Neodiprion lecontei: one gene and its partners. The protein of the gene in region 1 binds, or shares a complex with, the protein of each later gene. Links are inferred from orthologs where the notes say so. Each region holds a gene or a part of one and is shown in the gene's direction. Other genes may lie near its edges.

Region 1 (7,786 bases):
AACACACTTTTTTTCACCCAGTTTAAATATATTTGAGAAAATAGGGTGAAGGAAAAAAAATTTGATTGGTCCTAGGTGGGGAAAATTGTATTCAAAGAATTCAGAACAGATTGGACATATTTTGAAACTTCTGTTATATCATCATCATAAAAGATCTATTTGTTCAATATTCTTAGGTTTCAGTAAGGGAAATATTAAATAAATAATAAAATCGGCACATTGTATCACAATTTTCTTTTTATTATTTTTCTGTTCAAGTGCTACGTCTTATAAAGTGGCTTGCCTTCTTCCAATGTCAAACGTGAAATATTCGATATGCCGTCTTTCATCTGTAAACAAAAAGACCATATTTGATTAAATTTCACACCGTAAATTTACCAGCACGGTGAAAACACATACTTGCCTTGACTCGAGCATATAATACAATTCCAATCAACGTCAGAGTAATTCCGATAGCCTGATTCAGTGCAAGTGATTCGTGGAATATAATAGCGCCACCAAGTAAAAGAAGGCAAAATTTTGAATGTCCAACCATATTATAACTGGAAAACTTTATGTAAGAACATATTGAGAATTGCTGTGCGCATGGCAAATAAATTGGGTAGATAATAATTTTTCATCGAATTAAAAAATTTCATTTAAAATAACAATTCCTTGTTTGAATAAGGATACGTTAATGGTGATGTGTATCCTATTATCCAGTACGATGTTAAGTTCACAAAAAATGCTACGACGCTCGATAGCAGCACCATCAGCTGTGGAAATAAAAAAATTATCCCTTTAGTTAGCAAATGTTTAAACTTTAGTATTGAAAAGTAGTCAAAGTGTCTTTCAACTTACAATATCTGTAAATGTCCAGCTATGCTGGAGGGTGTTACCAATGGGTTCCAGAAATGGTACGATCACAAACAGCATTGCTGCAGATAACGGTGCTTGATAATAAAGGAGCTGCATAGGATCCATTTGGAATTCCTTTTGCTTTCTGCTGACCCACTGGAAAAAATGTGCAAAACCATGAGCTTCAAGTATGAAACAGGTTACGGAATTCATCATAAAGCAGTGAGAGTTATCCTACTTACAACTTGATACAGAGATGTAACAATAACACCTAGAGTAGCGTAAATAGTCCCAAGAATATTAAACCTAATGTCGTAATAAAAGTTGATGACAACTCCAGCTATGATGGGTATTAATGTTAGTTTAACAAGCAAACCGAATTTCTTTTTATAACATATTGCCTGCATAACAACGACGCAGGGGGTTGTAAGCATTTTAGTAACTTGATAAGTGCCGATCGTGTTGTGTTCCAGACTCAGATTAGTAAGGACAACAAACCCACAGAAAGTTAGGGCGATAGGTACCATTTCTTTAATGGCAACATCTTTTATACAAAATACATCCAATTTTTCACAAATGATTAGCCCAAGAAATGTTATTGCAAAGTGTATCATGGACAGGGTGACATTTGGAAATCCAATCCTCACGTACACCATTTTATTTAACAATACAATAAGTATTGAAAAAAATATATTTAGTACTAAGCAGAGAAATGTTAATACTCTTTTGTTCATTTTCTCAGACTATTATTGAGATCTTTATGGCGCGATAAATATTCTCTGACATTTACGTCACCGGTTACAGGTTAGGTTGAGCATCTTTACTTCATCCAAGTTAGGGTTATGTATTCAATTGTATATGTTTTGTCGAACACTGCTGCCATCTACCGGGGTTTCCATGACGACGAAACTCCCCTCGAGCTGCGCGCCAATTGATCTGAAAACCCGCGCGCGGAAATTTTAGCAACTAAAAGCGTCTTTTTTGGGCATGAAGATTGGGCTAAAGGTTTTTCAAATATTATTCCTTAATATGGTTAATATCTGAAAGAAACTTATAGCAACCGACAACATGGAGTTCCCTCTTGGTTACAGGGAAGTTATACCCGATCAAACATTACCGGAGAAGTGGAAAGAAATCGTGATAAATGCTGGTGAGATAACCTAACCTCTATCACACAAACTTCCGATGAAGAATTATTTTTCGCATTCCTTGTATGAACCGATTAATAATTACGCTCGATAAGACATGTATGACATTCAAACACTCCGTTTATCTCCTATTTATACGGACACGTATTTTTCCTTTTATGTTTTACGTCCCAACAAATGTTATACCTCATTACTATTGTTGATACTCTGATGATGAGCATTATTGCATTCAATAAAAATTCGTACAGTATAACTGTCACAACCCTTAATTTTTTTTTCTGGTTCAATACTATTCAGTAACTCTTCGCTTATTACAGGCGGTAGTCAAAGTACTTTACAAGATATAAAAGTCCCTGAGAGAGCGGGCGGATACTCTTACAAAGACAGCACTAAGCATTTTACAAGAAATCGTTTCATCTACTGGCGCATATCCCACGACGTTCTTGAACTTGTCGAGCACAGTCTAGATGTGAATCTTGCCAACTGTAAAGTAAGATACAAATTTACGGACCGGCCACTCTTGGATGGAATTTCTATACATGAGACAGTTAACTCTGTTGTGATATTAGTGGTCACTGTATCCAGTGTTCACAAACTCACTTTTCCGCATCCAGATAAAATACATCGACAGGTAGGACCAATATTTTGTCACACACTTAATTTTAATCTTCTTTTTCTGATACCTTAAAATCTTCAGTTTTTTTCATTTTCATATCCTTTGCAGGAACATGTATTGGGCTCTCACTCGGACCTTAGTGTTCCATCAATCCTTAACGATGCATCGAAAAATATTGTTAATGCCAATACAGGGACAACGAGTAAGCTGACATTTGTACTTACCAATATTATAATGTTTGAAAATATTCATTTGAAATGTTTCTCTATTCTAGACACATCAGTGCCACATGCAGCAGCCTCATGGCTGACTTTACCTCAAGAAGAAGCATTGTTTGCGCTCGCATACAGCACTGGAAACATTTTATTAATCCGTCTTGATACAATGACTGGGCTTACTCATACAACTGAATTGAAACAAGATTCAATTGTTCCCCGATTTCTGTCCGGCATCGCGACTGCTTTTAGAGGCCGTAATTCTGAAGGACACGTCCCAATGTCGCTTGTCCTACATTCGTATGGTCACGAAATGTACCTTTTCGCTCTATGTCGGGAAGGAAATGTCAGGATGTGGGCCTGCAGTAAAGCCCAGTGTGTGGCAGTTGCAGATATTGCCATGGACAGCAGAGTTCCTTTGCAGGGAGTGCAAGGACACATTTTGAAAAAAACAGTTGGAGTCAATGACAACGAACTTTATTTGGGAACATTTTTAAAATTTGGAACTGGATGCGAGTTTAGCATCCTTAAACCACTGCAGGATGCTGGACTCTTCAAATTTGTCAGGATTTGTACTTTATTTGCGCCAGATGTAAGTATACAATCGTTGTTGCAAATTTCAAACTTTTTCAAGATGAAGAATTTCACGCGCCACTTGAACATCTATTGGTGAATTAGTTAGTTTTTCCAATTCATTATTGCCATTTAAACATAACACCCTAATCGTTATTGTGTAGCAACATTTGGTCGATTTTTCCTTCACACCAACTCGACTGTGGGCAGTGTGGCGAACGACAGACATGGACACAGTAGCCGTGACACATGCAAGGCTACCATTGAATGGTGCACAAGTAAACTCTGAATGGGAAACTGCAGTGCTAGTGCAACCACCAGACAGAGATTACATCGTGAGTGATCCTGGAACAGATCCAAGGCAGGCATACATTGGCTATATTTTTCATCCTGGTCAATTTCCGTTAGCGGACATAACTCGTGCCTTGAGCATTTATCGACGCTCTAACATTATAACAGACACGTCGCTGTCTCCTGCAGTTCTGAAGGAACGTGTGTGTATGGCAGTAGAAGCTCAAATTCAAGCAGAAGTAATGGATTACGAGCTTTCAGATGATGACTATTTAGAGATAGCCAATCGCTGCTGGTCCAAATTCTATTCCTGTGTAATTCAATACTACGCCAATGGTACAAAACCTGTTGGGTTGTTGTTATTACCAAATGTATATGGGGCAGTTTTGCTGAAAAAGTCAGCGTTTTCCCTGTTACGGCCAATGGAGGCGCTTGAACATTTAATGTTATGCAATGACAAATCATATGTGCAAAGATTCAGTACTACACCAGTCTTGTCCCAAGATGAAGATACTTGTCAAAATTTAATCACATTGATGTCCGCATTAGTTTTGCTCGACAATCAATTGACTGAGGATTTGAAAAGTGGAATTGAACGCGAACTATATCATTTACGCAGTCCAGACATTATTATTGAAGATTTGTTATGCAAACAAGTACTAGAGACTGAAGACCCTGTGAGTAGTTCTATTTAAGCTTTTGTAACACTACCTAAAGCCCATTTTATTTATTATCTTTACCAAGTGAAGAGAATTGAGACTTACTCTGCGAAGTTCTTAAGTATAACGTCACCTAAGCCATTTGTTTAATTCCAGTTATCCGATTACGATTTTCAATCGGAATTAAATCGTAAAATAGAGAACACCAATGACATCTCACAAGCGATGGCTATGCTGGTAGAAGCACTGACTTATGATCTTGGTCAACCAAGTAAATTGCAGCTCGATGAGGTGCAGGAAGCCTCTCGAATCCTGCTGAATGTCAGTCACTTGTTCAGCAGCCAGTTAGGAATGTCAGCCATAACTGAAAGCGTATCGCAAATTACTCAGCTCAGATTTTCAATCTGTAGAAATCTGCTGATCCTACAACAATTAGTTTTGAAGCGGCCTGAAGCATTTGATCCAAGGTCCTTACACTCCATAAATTCTTCACTGGCACCTAGAACGGTTGTTCTAACACAAGCGTATTATGCAGTTATGTGGATTTGTGAATCAACCGCCAGTTCGTCACCAACTCAAACTTTACTGTAAGTGCAAATTTTTATGTAACTAGAGATTCTAGCAGAATCTAGTCTTTTCGTTTGCTTCAAAGTCAATTTCTTCTATGCTACATCATCCAATCCATTCGTACCTAGCATTTATGAAACCATGTGTGAAATTAATATATTTCAATTTGAATTTCAGAGACACCAGTATTCAGCATCTAAGCCTTTTAAAGCTTTCAGATTCCGGAGTAAATATTGTTCAGAGACAACAGAGATCATTGTCTCTTTTAGAATTGTTTATGCATAGCGGAGGTGCAAAACATGCCCACACTTTGATGGCTCATACGATAACTGATACGTGTGGCCTTGTACCATGGCATGAAAGTATGCTAACACATGTTACTCTGATGGCTCAGTTCGTGTATCCTTTCAACAAAGAGTTTTCTGAGAAAATAACTTCTAATCACACTATGAAACATATGATACATTAATGAAATCCAATGAATCACGTTAGTTCTTTTTCCTTGACTTTTCAAAACAGTTGGCCAATATCAGGAAATTTTATTTTTCCCGAATGGCTTTTATCAAGCTGTCAGCATTTGCTTGTTCAAGAGTACGTTAGAATGTTAAGTACTTGGTGCGAATGGAACAGTGCCTCTCGCAAATTTATCATGGCAGTGTCTTTGCTTGAAATGGGTGAAACACACAAGGCCTGTGATCAATTCCTTGGAGCGTGCAACGGAATTTTGACAGACACATTTTTGGCCAGCACCTTACTAGATGCCTGTATAGTGTCTGAAAGTAGCATGCGAGTTAATTACTTCTTGAAGGTGATCCAGCTGTTTGAACATCATAATGCCGCAGATTGTATAATAGAGCTGGCAGAAACTGCAATCACAATAGCTGAAGATGACAACCCAAATTTGCCCACGCTCCATTCAATCGTATTTAGACAACATCTGAATCTCGAACATCATACAGAAGCATATCATTGGCTTAATTCTAACCCAGATCCTTCCCGAAAAGTTGACTGCTTGAGGCAACTAGTAGCAACATTATTTGAGAGGAACAAATTACTGGAATTAGTTACATTTCCTTATGTCGAGATGTACGAAGATCTGGAAAGAATTATTGAAGGCAGGGCACGGAGTATGGATCTTATGGAAAATAATTACTATAATTTTCTCTATAGCTTCCATATAAATAAGGGAAACATGCGAAAAGGTACGATTCATTAGTATCAAGTGAAAATACATTCTTGCTCCCATTTGTGCATCATTTCATTTCGTAATGTATACATATTTTTTCAGCTGCTTCAGTGATGTACGAACAAGGCATGCGACTAGGACAGGAATCCCATTCTCCTGCAATTATACTAAAACAGTCTCGATGTTTGTTGGCTTGTATCAATGCACTGCATCTTGTAAAGGAAAGATATAGATGGATTGTGCGCCCTGTGGCTGATCAAAGGCAATCGGGGGAAACTGATCCCGTAAAAAAACGGAGTATAGATGGCAGGGAAGTTTTGCATTATAAAGTGAAGAAACAAGTAGAAGTGTTAGAATTGAAAGAGATCAAAGATGAGTATTACATCGTTACAGCAAGATTAAAATTAGCCAAATTAAGTCCGGAGTTACAAACAATCGCACGTGCTGGTGAGTTTTCTTAAAAATATGTACATCGACTTTCTTTGGATATACTCAATGAATAGTCCACGGTTGAATATTTGATTAATTGTTCTTATACAATTTCATAGGGCCGTCCGAACTTGTCGCAATTTTATCCAATGTTGGTTTGTACACGACTGCTTTACACTTGTGTGACCAATTTAGTTTATCGAAAACTTCTGTACTTGAAAATCTGGCCTCACAATGCGTAACTCTGAGCTATCAAGAAGACATTGACGCTTGGGATTGGCTAATACATAACGAAATTTTTGGTAAGTTAAAATTTATTTGTTTGCTAATTTCACAATGTCTTTTTGTGTATGGAATTATACATTGAGTGTATAAGGTCGACAAATTTCAAGGAATGCATATATTTCTTACAGATAAAGGCGTATCAGATTCGAATGTCACAAATATTGCTTGGAGATTATTGGAGCATCTCACATTGAAACACGAACGGGATAATAGCAGTGAATTGCACAAAGCTGTTACGAAAAATCTACTGCATCACGGTGCCTTTCTTCCACAGTGGCTAATGTCTTCTTACAAAGTAATTTCTCTTCCGAAGTGTTTTTACTCATTGACTATTATTCTTTTCGCAGTGATAAACTGCAGAAAAAATGGACCTAACTATATTAATAGCGAATTAAGTTCATATCCTATATTTTTATTTTCAGGAACGCAATGCGGCAGAAATTCTGAGACTTATTTTAAATTCCGGTCGACTTTTAGAAGCGAATGCAATAGCTCTTGAATACATTGGTGCTGTGTTGGGTAGAGGGAAAGAGTATTTTGGTTTGACAACACCACTGGTAGCTACGTCACCTGCTGTGTGGCTTCCATTGAACACATTAGAATTGCTTCTACTAGAACTTGAACATGCTAGCAAAACAGATCCCATGTATATAGAGGTAGAAACCAATTTTGTTGGAAAATATTTACAAAAATAGTTTTTTCTACCTTCAGCGGTTTTCCGATCTTCTCCTATTATCTTAGAGTTACTTGATCACAGCTGTTGGTAGAGCTGAAGTATACTATTGTTATTGATAGTAAGCTTTTACTTTTCATTTCAGAGCTACGAAGAATTGAAAGAAACCTTAGACTACTACATCGAAACAGTTATCAGAGTTTCAGAAGATATGATACAAATGAAAATAAACAGTCGAGTTGTTTAACAGTAAGTATATTTTCGGAACATTGTAGGATAACAATGATGATCAGTAAATCAGTACCAC
Region 2 (7,694 bases), on another chromosome or scaffold:
TCCATACAAACACTTTCCGAAAAACAATTCTGCTTCTCTACCCAACGTAGATACTTTACTTGCGACTAGCTAAAACAGCTAAATAGTTCTTAGAATAATTATGAATATCAATGCCATGGAATATATGTATGAGCAAGTGGTCGAGGAGGACGAAGGTGGTCGGAAGTGGTCGGTCGTGGTTGGAGGTGTTTGGAACTGGTAGGAGTTGCTAGGCGTTGGCAGGGGGTGGTAGGGGGTGGTAGAACGTGGTCGGAGATGGTCGACGGAGGCAGGGGGCGGTACGAGGTGACAGGAGGTGGTAGGAGGTGTTAGGTGGTGGTTGGCGGTGAACGGAGATGGTAGGAGGTGGGTAGAGGTGGTAGGAGGTGTTTGGAGGTGGTTGGTGGTGATTGACGGTGGTCGAAGAGGTCGTGGACGATGAGGATGCCGAGGCGGGGGCGGCAGTGGTCGGGGGACAAGGTGGTCGAGGAGGACGAAGGTGGTCTCAGGTGGTCGAAGGTGGTTGACGGTGCTTGGACGTGCTCGGTGGTAATTGGGGGTGGTTGGCAGTAGTCGTGATGGTCATTGGAGGCGGTTGGCAGTGGACGCCAATCTCAAGCTTTCAGGGCGCACTCTGGGCCCACTTGCCCGCCGTAAAGTGGTTACAAAAAGTTACCCAAGGGTATCCGTCTTTATATTCTTCAGTCAACGCTTCTGGTCCGTCCGTTGCTTGCAGCGACTGCAGAGCACGGTCTTACATACAGATTTTTGCAACGAACTGAAATTTGAGTAGTGGGGGTAGCCGCGTTATTGTCCAAATTTTTTTGCCACTACTGGCCACTACGCAGCGCTGTCAGTTATTCATAACATAACAACGTAAGGTTATTTGTGTATGAGTATCAAAAAGATAGGTTAGGGTTCCGTCAAATAATAATAATAAGCTTATGAATAACTCGTAGCGCCGCTCTTGGTGGCCATAAGTTGTACTTTTGTTTCGGACCTGAACTGATCATCCCCCACCACGTTCGTTGCAAGACCTGTATGTAATAGCGTTTTCCACTGGTTGCACTGAGTGTGAACTGAGAGCGCGCTAGCGGTAGACTCGTATTTCCAGCGTGTTCCACTGACAGCTCGGGTGCGTGAATTTAGCATTGAGCGCGTAAAATATTGCACTGAAATCGGGAGTCTGTGTCAAAGTAGTGCAATTATGGCTGCAGATCGTGAAAGAGTCGAAGTAGATGCTGTGACAGCAACCCTTTTATTAGATCTAATTTCATCTTCGTCTAGCAGTGATGATGCTTGCTCGAGCCGAAAGATAGAGAGATTCCCAAAATTTTAAATTTCATAGGAGTAATCCACAGCATGTCCGATATCGAAGTATGGATACACATTTTTTCAGCTTCTAGAGGTTAACTGCTAGGTATATTTCAGGAGATTGGGACAACTTGACTTGCTGCTTATTAATTTTTATCTTTTCAGCGGAATTGTCAATATTTTTTGCCCTTGTATGCTCGTGTTTAACATTTGTGACATTTATTTACAAACAAAAAATTACCGTTGCGTTTGTTCAATTGGCTTCATTATCACTTACTTGAAAAACTGCCAGTCGCGCAGTCGGTCAAGTAACGTCACATTATTTCTGATTTAGGAGAAATTATGATCCAGTCTGCCTTTATACGTTTTACGGCGTGTTCCACTCAGAAGGTTTGCCCCGATGCCGGGCGACGTATGCACGGAACGACTGCCCCCTGTTCGAGCCAGTGCGCACTCAAGTGCAACCAGTGGAAAACGCTATAAGACCGTGCTCCACAGCCAACCTAGCTCCTGCCCTTCCTATCCCACTTTCGATGTTTTCATCCTCATTGATTGGTTAATGGTTAGTCCAATTTTTACTCAAAGGCGCTATAACGTTACAATCAAAAACTTTATTTAATGATAATATAAAAAATGAAGGCGGCACCGGAGCCTAAGGATGTACTGGTACGCTTTTTCTACTATACATGTCTTTCAAATATCCATTTAACAATCTACAATTCAATCGTCAATCATAACCTCAAGGTTTTTTAATTCCCAGTTCAACTTAGATTGATAAAATGAATATAAACAAAAGTTTCAATTGATAACATAAATGTAATATTAGTTGCCATCATTGTGTACTCTAATTGTAACGCTACACTATAAACTATTCATTGAAATTATGGCAATTCAGAGTTATCAACTTTAATTGTACATGTGTAGTAATTAACATTTATTACTGTAGCGTATACAACTGTTATGATGCATTTTTGCAGGAATTTCAATTTAAACAATCCACACATTGGAAAATATCAGATGGATTCAGCTCAATCCCTGTAGCTTGTAGCCTGATTGCAGTAGATGGGAAACGTGGATTGATTTACACAGCTTGCGACCACAAAATCATAGTCCTGAAAAGTGGCCACAGTCTGGACAAGGAATGGAGAAAGGAATTTGTTATGCCAGCAAAAGTTACTTGCCTTGCATTTAATTGCAATTGCTCGTACTTAGCTGTTGTTTTTGATTCTCCCACAGCTTACATTTACAATGCTGCTTCAGTTGTACAACAGGTAGATTTAAAATCTAGAAATAATTTCATTTACTCCACAAAATCAAAATATGAACTGAGGATACTGTTGTGTCCGAACTTGTAATAACAATCTATCTATTTCACAACTATGTGAATATTTACAGCAATTGGAGCTCCTACGAGAGATCAAATTATCGTCCTCATATAATGTCCATATTTTGGATCTTCGTTGGAATCCTTGCATCTCTGGAATGTTATGTACAGTAACAAGTGATCACTCTATAGGCAGTTTTAATATATCATCTGACAAAAATTCATCAGTTCTGACAATATTGGAAAAACTAGAAAAGTTAGATGTGCTCTGTGTGGCTTGGAGTCCCAAGGGAAAACAATTAGTAGTCGGAAGCAAGAATGGAAGTTTGCTACAGTTGAAACCAGATTTAAAGGCAGCCAGAATCATTGCAGGTCCTGATCCGAGCATCGGCAGTGTCATTGCTCTTTTATGGATCAGCAGTTACCAATTTTGCGCTGCCTATTTAGACCCACAAGACTCACGAATTAATGTCCTCATTATAGATGCCCCCAAAGGTGAATCTCAGGGCATCTTTACTTGTTATGAAGATATAACTTATAGCGTGCCCGATGTTGAAGGAAAAGAGGGCAGTCCGCCCCGATACTATTTTGAACATATTGCTGAATGGGGATTAATTATTGCTGCTAGTAGTACCAGTAGTGAAATTGCTGTTCTTGGCTCACTAGATAATGGAACAACATGGCAGCAATGGCAGTTAGTTGACAGTGGAAGAGCTCAGCTACCTCTTGTGCGAACTAATGAAACCTTTCCTGTTGGCCTAGCAGTAGATAGAACATCTGTAAACAAGCTACCGTGGGGTGGAGAGGGCTCAACGCTTCCCCACCCTGTACCTATACTTCATATATTTGGAACTTCCGGGCAACTCTGCAGTTTTCATATGGTAAATTTAATGCCAGGAATTCCACCAGTCTGCTCTCCTCCGACTGAAACTCTTCCATTGTATAGTGAACCACACCCAAGTCTTGCTCCTACAGAAATATCATTTAATTTGGATGGCAGAGTCACCAGCACTCCACGACCTAAACAAATTGAGCCGATCATGGATCGACCAACATCAGCTGTAACCACAAACGTATCTCCGAAGACCTCAGAAGTTTCTATTCCACAACCGCAAACTGAATTGTTTGTAACAAAACCCCCTATTGAGAAAATTGAAGTATCATCGAAAGTAGACACATCACTAGTACCCAGAAAGGAACTAAAAGAGACGGAAAAAGTCAGCATAGACAGTAACGTATGTGTTTTGACATACGAGGAGGTATGCAATGATTTTGAAAAAGAACTGAGTAGTCGTAGGGAAACACAGTCCGTAGATATCGGCTCGCCAGGCGAACGTACGCAACTTATTGAAAAATCTGAAAATATGCAACGCTTCCTAACAGATTTACAGGAAACAACTACTAGTTTGACAAGTGACATCAATTACTTAAAAGCTTTGTTATTGCAGACTTTTGCCTGGCTGGAAGAAACGAAATCTAAATGCTCTTCTAAAGCTTCAAGTAATCCCCAAAATCGAGGAAATAATAATAAGCTGAAAGAATTGCAAAATCTTGTCTATTATATTCAGTCTCAATTGGAGCAAGCTGCAAGAGCCCTAGATTACGAATGGTTCGAGCATGTAAATAAAGAAAAAAATAAAATGAAAGTACCGAGGCTTGATTTCGTTCATCAAATCATGCTTCAGCATTCACAATCTATTGCCAAAGTGGAAAATTTGATTCAAGCTCAGGTTAAGAAGTGGAAAACTCTTACACGTAGAGATATTACTTCTTCATTAAATAAATCCTTGGCCGATATGTCTCTATCTTCATCCGTCAATAACAAAGCTCCTAGTGGTGCTATAGAGTACAAATGTAAAGCAATTGCACAGAGAAATTGCAGCTTTACCTGTGAGAAACAACGCACTTTGAGGAATTTGTTGAACCAAACCACGATAAAGATAATTAAAGCAGCAACCCCTTCAGAAATTCAGGATCGCTTGGAGGCAACAATATCTTCTCTGGCAATGCAAAGTCCACCCAAAGAAGTACAGAGACGTAAGAATGTCTTAATAGAAAAACTGATGCGGGAAGATGCACTACCTGCACCTCCACCTATCCCAGCTGCAAAAAGTCCCTTAGCATCTTTGGATCAAATTGTCGCCAACATTGGATCTGTTGGCATTCAGCCAAACCTTAATTTGCAGAATAAAGCACCAGCCTTGATCGGAACACCTGCTTCCACTCTACCAATCAAAACATCTCAAGTTGGAGTCAAACCTAGTAGCACACAGAATAAGTCCACAGCATCCATTTCTCTTCCGTCGATCAAAGTACCACAAGTGGATGGCAAAGCACGAATAGCTGCTACATTAGTAGCATCGCAAACCCCATCAACAGCACAGTCTGTACAAAGCAAGCCAACTTCTGCTGCACTATTTGGCACACCTCCTACACCTCATACACCTCAAAAACCCATAACTGGCATCCCCAGTGGAATGAAATCTGTGACAATATCAGAAGTATCTCCATTCACATCTTCTGCTTCTAGATCATCGGTATTGCCATTGTTGCCTCCTGCACTGATGCCAACTACAATCACAGCTATTAATAAACCTTTTTCAAAAATTGACACTCTTCCATTTAATTCTGTTATTGCTAAAACTGAGGCACAGCCAACATCTACAACAATATCTACCTCAACAACTACACCAATAGTAGTTTCCACTTCTATACAAACCATCCCACAATCCAGTGTTAGTTTTATGTCAACAGTTCAAACACCAGCGAGCCAAGCGTCGACTTATCCCATTACACTGAAAACATCAAATAGTTCAGTCACCACACAAAGAGCATTAACGACTACAACTTCGGTAAACGTAACAACGTCACAAATCGCGAGTTTTTCATTTGCAACTAAACCTGCAAGTAATACGCCTTTTTCATTCGCCTCAAAATCAGTAGCCAGCCCAACATCAAGCACAGCTCAGTCGTTGGATCTATCAGTCATGGGGTTGGACTTACAGACTTCTAATACTTCGATTAAAAACGTAACATCAACAACAACAGTGGCGGCTGGTGGCTTTTTTGGATCTGTTGGGACGTCATCACCTGGATCAATATTTGGTGGAACTTCAACTATCTTGAAGGATAAGCCAGCAAATCCAATTTTTGGGAATCCTCCTGGGTCTTCGCTGTTTGGCGGGGTCTCAGCGGGTAGTAACATAATATCTTCGTTCAGCGAAAGTGCAACACCTGGTGCGCTAAAGCTACCAGTTTTTGGTAATAGCCCCACTGGCCTAACTGCACCTATTTTTGGTGGATCTGCTGCAAACCCGCTGAAGTCTGTTTCTGGTGAAACACCAGCTGTATCCACAGCTACATCAGGATTTGAAAATTCCGCTAATTTACCATCAGCTTCAGTTTTTGGTAATGTTTCTACCACCTCCGACACTCCATCAATATTTGGAGGTAATTCTACTGAATTTTCAAGTGCACCTACTTTGGGAGGAACTACCAGTCCACCGGCATCAATTTTTGGCAAAGCTAATAACAGTCCCATTAAACCACCAATATTTGCTGGTGACTCTGTTAATTCTTCGACACCCTCCGTTTTCGGCAGACCTCCCGATGCTGAATCATTTACGTTTGGTGGTATTCCAGCTAATTCTACACCACTACCAGCTTTCGGAAGTGGTCCCACAATTTCCACGAGCCCATCAATGTTTGGTGGAGCTATTTCTAATCCCCAAACTGCATCAATTTTTGGTGGTACAGCTCCAACTCCTTCTACCTCATCAGTCTTTGGTACTGTTACACCGTCAAATCAATCAATATTCGGAGGGGCACCTGTAATTCCTACTCCTACTACTAACATCGGCTCAACTTCACCAACACTGACGGCTACTGCACCAGCATTTAGCCAAACAGCAACTTTTGGTGCCAAGCCAGCATTTGGATCCACTTTTGGAGCATCAAAACCTATATTTGGCGGCGGATTTGCAAATACTGCATTTTCAGGTGCTACACAACCTACAAGTAAGCATTTGCTAATTAGTTGATGAATATTTGTCAAAAATATTTTGTCAGTGAACAATTCCATTCAAGTAAAAATATCTGAGTTTCAGCTGCTTTCGGTGGGTTTGGCACGCCATCGCCATTAGGAGCTAACTCCGGTAGTATCGGCAGCAGTTCAATGCAGAAAGTATTTGGTGAAAGCAGTGGAAGTAGTACCTTTGAAAATCTTGCCACTCAGGAAGGAGGATTAACTTTTGGCAATTTAGCTCAGAAGCAACAAGAACCAGCAGCCCCACCACCCTTTTCAGGGTAAGCAAATTATCCTTAAAATGTTTTATGCGTTTCTGAGAAAGATATCAATACGAAAAATTAACATATTTTATTCACTCAAGTGTGCTGATTTGTATCAAGAAGAATATCGCGCTCAATTCAACTTCGAATATGTAAAATGCTGATATCTTAAAACTTATTTGATAGCATTGAGGCATAATTGAGGGTAAATACCTTAGAATATAGTTAGCTTGGATCAAAATTAAACAATAATCCCAGAATACTATGATCTGAATATCGTTACATGATTTGATAAATTCACTTGTTTTGAAATCAATTGGTTACTTTTCCAGAGGAAGCTCGTTCCAGAGTTGGAGATAATGAAATCGACTGTGACCACATCAAGATTCATCAAGATTATCCCAATATACAAGTCGATCCGATAAGTCTCTTTTTATAACATGTATGAAAGTCTTGTAGTAAAATATTTGTACGACATTGTTGAAAGTTAAGACTATATTTTTAATCACTATAGATATAAGATTTTGTATTAATTTTAGTGTCAGATGTTATGAAATTATTGTTATGGTCTTTAAATAATAATTATGCTTTTATGCGCAAAGCATATATGTTTATTGATTGTCCAAAATATCATATTCATTTAGATACCTCTTTTGATTGGCTTGGGAGAAACAGAAACTTTGACAGGCTTGCACAAGTCAATAACACATGGATCGTCAAGTGGAGGATGCGTGCAAATAGGTGACGATGGAACAAGAAGCGATAATGAAACTTCCACGTTACAAGCTTC
Region 3 (7,887 bases), on another chromosome or scaffold:
TGAATGAGAAATGCCGGGGGAAATGTTTAAGAACGAAGCGAAAATTTGCGGTTCGATAAACTTTGAGGAAGTATAATATATTTCGAAGTAAAAAATATCCATGTGCAAAGAGTTGCGTAATATTAAAATCATAGTCCGGTCCGAATGTATAGAAATTCAATCGACTTCGTTCGACGAAGAACAGAGAGCCGGCAATTTCTTTACAATTTCGTTAGATGCCCAGGAACATATCCTGAAGTTTGCCAAAAAAGTTCGATCCGGATTTTAGCAGCAAATTTTTTTGAAATTTGAACAAACTGTAAATTGCGGAAGTTATTTATTTAGTTATTTATTTTTGTTTTTGTTGGTTTCAGTGAAAAATGGTTCCTACAAAAGTTTTCCATCGTATTGCCTTTTATAAAATTAGTCCTATACAAAAATAATGTATCATTGTTAGTTTACTTGAAAAATCCTGACAAGCACTGGGATCGGCCGTTTTGTTTATTGCTATTAATTCGGTGAATTTTCAATTCCATGTCCCGAAACTCACCCGACGTGTAGAACAATCTTTTCTCGAATTTTTCATCCAAAGTTTACCCGGCTACGCTGCCTAGTTGAGCAACAATAAACGGTCCACGTAAATCCGCACTTCTTCGATAACTTTTGTCAGATTATTTCTACCATGTGGAAAAAAATAGTCGGGATAATTTTCAATGCCTACTTTCAAAGTGTAACAGGGAAAAAGTAATTTTTGTCAACAAAGAAAGTTTTTTATAGATTTAAAATTCTAGCTCGTAAAAAAGTGTGAGCAATTTCATTCATTTTCAAATTACTCTAGATATTTTTCAAGACTCCGGTGACTTTTTCCAAAACGCGTAATTGAAATAAAAAGTTTCAATAAGTTAATTAGAACCCGAGATATGGACATTACCTTTTATTCATTTAATAATTTGCTAATTACTATGTTCGATCGGTTCAAGTTTGAGAATATTTGTCACTTCTTCAGGTATTACAATAAATATTTTTTTAAGTTTCCACAAAATTAATCCCATTGCAAGCAACAAGTTTTAAAAATTGTCCTAGAAATTAAATTTTGTTTTTGTTACAGCATAGTTTTTTCTCACCAAACCGAAAATTGGTGGGTTCGATTATTTGCTCACTAACTATAAAAAGGGGTTGTTAGTGACATGATAATAGTGGGAAAAGGGTGACGTGACAAATTTCAATTGGTTATCATCAATCATATATTTCATATTTTTTTAAAATGTTATTCAAAGTAGGTAGTAAAGCAATAACAGCTACTTGAATAGCTGCCGGTTTGCCAGAACCCGGCACGCGGTATTCAAGTAATATAAATGGATTTTGAAAATGTCCATATAATGAAATGATACGATTATTTCGAATGAATACTAAACTAAACGAATTCCGTGTTGCTTATTTTAATCACTTCGTGTATAAATATAAGATTGAAATTTTTTTGTAAGCTTCGTATTTGATGGTCCTCAGGGAGCTACGGCTCTAGGATCAATTAAAACTTTTTATCTATCCTTCGATCTAAACTGAGGCAGGCTGATTCATTCGAAAATGTTGTTAAGTGTTTAAATTTACCGCTTGTTAGCAACACATAACGAAATTGGAAGCAACAAGTCGAATCATCAAGTTTGTATGCATGAGGTAGCATACCAGCACTGGCATTCGTGACTGGGAAACAGCAATCTCAATACATTTTGTCTCGCTCCCTCCGCGCTTTGATTGGCCGAAGTAGGGCGCACAGCCAATCGCAGCGCAGAGCGACAGAGACAGAATGTACTTGTATTGCCTTGACCCCGTGACACGTGCAACCATTGGGATGCTATCTCCATGCGTACATATAAGCTCGATGGTTCAAATTGGCGGCAACGAACAGCGACATCGTGCGACACGCGGGCGACCTTAATCCTTGAGAAGTGAAGTTTCAAGCCATGTCTTGAATGTAATGTTTTGCCGAGACGTAGTATAGATATTTTTAAATATTAGATTGAAAACACTCGCAAGAAGCATGTCGAAATTTGGGTTTGGCACTCCTGCTACCGGAACCACGACAACAACCTTTGGATTTGGTAATCAAAAGTAAGTCTTGTCATCTGACAGCGAACACTCCCTCAAACTTGGCGGTAATCATCCTAACCTCAAAACTCTCATTCTCGTGAAAGATGAATAACTTTCGCGGATCACTGCGGTGATCCAATTAAAACTTATCATTGTATCATCTACTTTAATTTTCTTCAATACTTCATTGTGTGTCATAACTTGAATGCAATTAGGAATACGTTAGCTACTAGTAATGCTTTCCGAAAACAAGTTCAAGACTAGCAATTACTGATATTCGCAGTCAATACTTGTAACGCAAATTATCGATTCTATTCCCAATTCTATTACCCTCTGAGACAAACGATTAACGTATCTCAATCCTATTTTCAGACCAGCTCCAGCGTTTTCAACAGTCACACCGTCGTTCGCAGCGACGTCAGCTGCAACTGGTGGCTTATCCTTTAGTACAGCCATATCTGGAACATCAACGACTCCGAACTTTGGATTCGGTAGCACAGCCGGTACTTCGACCACTTCGCAAGCCTCGAGGCCTTTCGGCTCTGGAGGAACAGCCATAACAAGTGTATCTTCAGGTTTATTTTCAACTCCGATTGTCTCGGCAGCCCCGACTGGCGGTCTCAGTTTTGGTACACCCGCTGCTACGACAGGACTGAATTTTGGTACTAGTGTTGGCACTCAACCTACCAACACTTTAAACTTTGGTACCACTACAACCACGGGTTGTTAGTATTGTTCTCTTGAGTATTTTTAGATTATAGCAATGTTAGGAATAACATAAGGGAATGATTCACTGTAATGCTTCTTGCTGATCAAAATTTATCTCCAACTGGCTTATTACCTTACTGAGCTTTGTAGTAGTTCTCATAAGTAGAAACTCTACCAGGCAAGTCAATTTTTCTTCTATAAACTTACTTGCGTTACAAAGTTTCGCTTTGCCAAACGTGTAATTTTTTAGAAAAATTCAACCACGCTTTGCAGTAATGAGTCCTGCCTAATATTTTATCGAACGATTTCTTTACTTTCAGCATCTCTTTTTGGTGCTGCACCTGTCGGGGGTTTGTTTGGTGCCAAACCTGTGAACTCAGCCGCCCTAACGGCAACTACTAATATCCAGGGCCTTGGTGGCGTTGATGTTTCTGCCAACAAACTAGGTTTAACTCAAGGAAGTAGTAGCCCAACAGCAGCTAAGGAAAACCTCATACCCAATGAACTTACACAGACTATTGAAAACTTCAAGTAAGTAATCATGGCATAACAATGAAGTTCAATTTGGAAGACGTTTATTAGCTTTTTTGTCAAATTGGAGTAATAAAGACTTTTTTTTTATCATCTTTGTAACGTATCACCCTGAATTTTCACCAGAATATTTATCAAGACCCAGAAGTCATTCACTTCGGACATAGCTCGGGGTTCCGTTAGACCTTTAAATCGCTGCGCCGAAGACACAGCGTCGTTGATGGAACTCCTAACAACTCTCGCTGGTTCGGTACAGCGGGATCGTTCCTTGGCAGACAAATTGAAACAGGACACAGCAAAAGCTTTACAAAATGCAGAAATTGCACAACGAACACACGATACACCAGCAGGACTGCAATATGAGAACAATGCGCCATTGCTGTTCTTTATGGAACTTGCCGATACTTTTGAACAGGATTTATTATTATTCAGATCTCAGATAGAATCCACTGAAAAACATATACATACCATGGTGACACCAAAGACGTTAACTCCACAGGGTGAGTTTACCTTTCTTATTCTCACTTTCATACATCATATTTACAAAGCTCAATTTCTTATACATGTTTTCACATCATCAATCAGACTGACCACATTTTTTGATCCTAGAACTAACAATGGCGATGAGCAAGCTTCACGAATCATTAATAGCAGTCGCGGGAAAGTTGCAAGGTGTACACGCTAAAGTTCAACATCAAAAAGAACAATATCTCAATTTGAGGAAATACGTTTTAAAAGATAGTTCTAACGTATTTGAAGACAGCAAGTTAAACGAAAAAATGAGCAGGATCAGCTCTGGAAAAATCAACAGTGGTCCTACTCCATTTGGTCCAGGTAGGCTAGACAATTCCATAGGCTAATTTGTACGAATGAAGTTTGTCTTCAGGCAATAAAATATATAATAGTAACTAATAATAAAATACATTTGTTGAACCAGCCTTCGAAGTTTACCTCATTGATCTTCTTCCATAACATTTTGAATTATTGTTTGTCAGATAGCTGTTTTAAACGGGTACAGAACTGAAGGGATTATGATAATATTTAATTGTTTATTTTCAATACTTACTAAAGTGATTCCTGTTCACCTTTAACTTACATGTCATTTTAAACCATTCAAATACTCTGGTATACTCTGTACCTGTGAAGATGAAATTTTCGGAATGGCAATCGTGGGTGTTATAAACAGGAACTCTTAATTTGCAAGAATTCTTCCACGTTGTGAATAAATTATTACTTTCGAGCGATTTTTGAAGATGCATGAGTCTCAACTTCATAAGCGATACGTTTTTGAAAACATCGACGTATCTGATTGAGTTGAATTCGTCTCACTTATCCTCGAATGATGATAAATTTGCGATATTGTAAAATTTTTTATTCTAGGAAACAAAAGTTTTTTATCCTCAACAAACCTAAATACCAGCAGACCACCAAACTATGGAACAGCGAACCCTTTAGGTAAATAGTGGTAAGATGAACCTTTAGAAATACTGTGTAATTTATTGGATTTTTTTTTCTATTTTACATTTGTATAAATTTATATCCTCTTCTTCACTTTACTCACGTATTTTTCGATTAGTCACGTATATAAAATACCCCATAAACGTATCCTATATTTAGGTCTTGCAGGGATTTAGTATGAGGTAGAAATTATTACCAATATCAAAAAGTTGACGGAGAATAGATGGATGTAGTAAATTGACGCTATAGCAAACTTTAAATTTTGTTGTAAAAATTAAACATGTAATCTGCTCGTCTTCTATTTCGTGCCATGATTGCACAACGAAATATATATCGTTGAATGCGCATAAATTAAAATTGCTATGAAATATTGACGCACAAATTTTCTGAAAGCATAGGTATAGTATTAATTTTCCAACGCACCATTTGCCATTCTGCACTGCAAGCTTTCCTCAGATTTTGAACTTTGACACAAATAACAATTATCAAACAAAAAAATAGTCATAAAATTCACCAAGACTTTGTACAATTATTCTTTGCTACCAAAATATGAATTCATATACGTTATTACTGTGCACGTTGCGTTTATATACTGATTTAACAAAACCAGAGCAACTACACAACTCTGCTACATCCGTTTGCTCTATAGCTTCATTAATTTGACTCCTTTGTTTTCGTTACATAGCAGTTATTCATTCAAGTGTGATATCGTTGATTGACAATTTTACACTGTAGCTATCACTAAATATATTTATTATCTGTTTGATTTGTATTTATTTTGCCTTTACAGGAAAAAAGTAGTGGCTGTTTATTAGTATTTGAGGTATAGCATTTGTTTTTTATTTTCATTATTATATAGTGTTTTGTGTTCGGGGAACCTAGAGGGATTTTTCTTCAAGTAGCATAAATTATCATCACTCTTCATTTTAATTACTTATGTTGCTAATATCAAATTTTTTCAAAAGCTTGAATGTAACGGTATTAATTTTTCTATTTGAAGGGACAGTACAGCTTGAATAGCTTTTACCTTACTAAAAACCTTGCATGGAAAATAACTACATGCTTTTACTTCATGCTTTAGATGCTACTATTACAGATATTATTGAATAAAAATTGGTCACCTTATTTGTAATTTGTACATCACATTTGATCTGAAACTGTATAATGACTGAAGACAAATTACAGACAAGATTTGGTAAAGAAACAAAATTATAAATTGGCAAAGGACCTCTATTCAGTTCGTTTCAATGCTTATGTAAATTACATATACACTCGCTTTCGACTCTGTTATTTAAAAAGTAACGAGACACTTATAATCTTATTGACAGTTGCGAATTCCCTTGAATATGACTAGTGACAGTGGAATACTTTCATATGAAACTACCAAATGTGTCAGATTTTTCAAAATAATTTTGAAACATGCACGAGTTTTTCACTTTTTTATTAACGATAATCGCCAGTGAACCACAAACATACTATCTTGCAGTTCATTAGTGGTTATTCTTGCTAAAATCGAATATTCTTGCGAAAATTCATATGTCGATCAATAGATTTTTGAAAAATCTAATATTCCGTAGATCCCTCGTGAGTTGTGAAGGGGAAAAAAACAGCCGATTCACAGACAAAGACGCGGAATGATTGCATCATTTAATATGGGATGACTTTATGACGGAAATGCTTTAGGAAAGTCTTTTTGTTTTAATTCGAACAGTAAACCTTCTTGCATCCATTATAAAGAATATGCTTATCATGAACAACATATTGTTGTATTAATTTTTTATTCACTCATTCTTATGCATAGTTATATAACTCTTGTCTTTGCAATGGTGATTAAAAATTAGATTTCATTAATTCCCTATGTCAAATTCATCTGAAATTGCTTTGGCTTTAGGTGAACAGGCTTATGCTTGGACAAGAAAAATGCATGATTCTAACAATGTACTGTTAGGATTCTCCCGAGCACACCTAGATATATTTAAATATTACCCATTTGATTTTGTGCTTTGTAAAATTTTTGTTTTGTTTTTTCAACTAAGGGGGTCTGTAATTTTTTTTTAAATCAATATAACCGGATATTTATCTAGGCTGCTTTTCTTTTATGGAACACAAATCAATACAGAAATATAATAATGCAATGTGCTTCGTAAAAGTAATGTTAAGTCGTTTTAAGTAAGGGGGATTGTACTTATTTTAAATCGAGTAATGGGATACCTATGGAGGCTGCCTTTCTTTTATGGAACACAAATCAATACAGAAATGTAATAATGGTTTTAATATATACGCTGACATTTTTTTTCTTATTTTCGGAGAGCTTAAAAGGTAGTTTACTGCCCTCAAGGTGTGTGTAAATTTAATTTTGTAATACTTTCTAGAGGCGATGTAATAATGAAATTGTTTCAGCTTGGGGTAATGCAACGTCATTACAAACAGCCAGTAGTATTTCAGTTGGTGCGTCTGCCAAACCACCAGCAACAGGTTTGAGTTTTAACACACCGTCAAACTTGGCAACTTCTCTATCAGCAACAGACTCCAACTTCAGTTTTCAACTTCAAAAACCACCAACTGGTAACAAGAGACATAAGCATTAAAGTTGATGAAAAAAAAATCTAAGTGTATTTTGGTATTACATTCGTCGCATAAAATCCAGATGAAACGATTGTATACTGGAAAATATTGTTTCATGGATTTTTATCCCGAGAAATTGGATGTAATAAGGGGTATTACAGTATTGGAAGGACCAAACGTGTGCTCGGTATGAGTACCTGTCTAAAAGTCAAAAATATGTAAAATCATGAATCTTAGTGATATTCGAAGAAAAAAAAAATCGAAACTAATTTATTTGTCATTTTTTTAGTCGAAAAATCTGTAATTAAATCCCAAACATAATCAAAGTGGACTTACGAAGAAACAAATTCCATACTTTCATATTTACGATTCGAATTGGGCAAATGTATTTTTAATGAGAAGCAAACTCGCATGAATGCCGAGGGTCATAAGGGAATCTGTGAATAATAGTTGTTTTCGTATCTTTTTGTACACTTAATTTTCTTAGAAGACAAAGTCTTATCATGTCAAGAGTTTTGTTTTGCGAGTAATGTAAGTGCGTAATAAGACTTGTTTTAC

Evidence for each region.
Region 2: nuclear pore complex protein Nup160 homolog (region 1) and nuclear pore complex protein Nup214 share a complex: the UniProt entries of both Drosophila melanogaster proteins name them as parts of the nuclear pore complex. The link is inferred for Neodiprion lecontei from reciprocal best matches to the Drosophila melanogaster genes Nup160 and Nup214.
Region 3: nuclear pore complex protein Nup160 homolog (region 1) and nuclear pore complex protein Nup58 share a complex: the UniProt entries of both Drosophila melanogaster proteins name them as parts of the nuclear pore complex. The link is inferred for Neodiprion lecontei from reciprocal best matches to the Drosophila melanogaster genes Nup160 and Nup58.

What each region holds. Positions count from the first base shown.
Region 1 is NC_060263.1:38,145,909-38,153,694, forward strand, and holds the start of nuclear pore complex protein Nup160 homolog, read left to right. Parts: upstream 1-1,767; 5' UTR 1,768-1,905; coding exon 1,906-1,987; intron 1,988-2,302; coding exon 2,303-2,616; intron 2,617-2,709; coding exon 2,710-2,803; intron 2,804-2,875; coding exon 2,876-3,408; intron 3,409-3,553; coding exon 3,554-4,357; intron 4,358-4,495; coding exon 4,496-4,926; intron 4,927-5,083; coding exon 5,084-5,305; intron 5,306-5,425; coding exon 5,426-6,108; intron 6,109-6,194; coding exon 6,195-6,539; intron 6,540-6,640; coding exon 6,641-6,823; intron 6,824-6,934; coding exon 6,935-7,101; intron 7,102-7,228; coding exon 7,229-7,462; intron 7,463-7,624; coding exon 7,625-7,726; 3' UTR 7,727-7,728; exon of another isoform or gene 7,729-7,786. Other genes in the region: solute carrier family 35 member E3, read right to left, coding at 261-329, 404-542, 673-755, 841-993, 1,080-1,571. UniProt on the Drosophila melanogaster protein: Functions as a component of the nuclear pore complex (NPC). Involved in poly(A)+ RNA transport. Required for nuclear import of Mad. May play a role in double strand break DNA repair. Essential for nephrocyte development.
Region 2 is NC_060262.1:33,074,780-33,082,473, reverse strand, and holds nuclear pore complex protein Nup214, read left to right. Parts: upstream 1-1,693; coding exon 1,694-1,855; exon of another isoform or gene 1,856-1,926; coding exon of another isoform or gene 1,927-1,959; intron 1,960-2,270; coding exon 2,271-2,564; intron 2,565-2,688; coding exon 2,689-6,634; intron 6,635-6,723; coding exon 6,724-6,922; intron 6,923-6,977; exon of another isoform or gene 6,978-7,236; coding exon 7,237-7,264; 3' UTR 7,265-7,373; downstream 7,374-7,694. Other genes in the region: integrator complex subunit 4, read right to left, coding at 7,545-7,694. UniProt on the Drosophila melanogaster protein: Part of the nuclear pore complex. Serves as a docking site in the receptor-mediated import of substrates across the nuclear pore complex including emb, RanGAP and phosphorylated Mad. Protects mbo/Nup88 from proteasomal degradation at the nuclear pore.
Region 3 is NC_060265.1:8,735,740-8,743,626, forward strand, and holds the start of nuclear pore complex protein Nup58, read left to right. Parts: upstream 1-1,886; 5' UTR 1,887-2,017; coding exon 2,018-2,088; intron 2,089-2,439; coding exon 2,440-2,792; intron 2,793-3,095; coding exon 3,096-3,306; intron 3,307-3,432; coding exon 3,433-3,806; intron 3,807-3,915; coding exon 3,916-4,140; intron 4,141-4,686; coding exon 4,687-4,761; coding exon of another isoform or gene 4,762-4,769; exon of another isoform or gene 4,770-4,771; intron 4,772-4,923; coding exon of another isoform or gene 4,924-4,940; exon of another isoform or gene 4,941-5,073; intron 5,074-5,554; coding exon of another isoform or gene 5,555-5,565; exon of another isoform or gene 5,566-5,587; intron 5,588-5,730; exon of another isoform or gene 5,731-7,164; coding exon 7,165-7,352; 3' UTR 7,353-7,887. UniProt on the Drosophila melanogaster protein: Component of the nuclear pore complex, a complex required for the trafficking across the nuclear membrane. Together with Nup54, required for transposable element silencing regulation in ovarian follicle cells.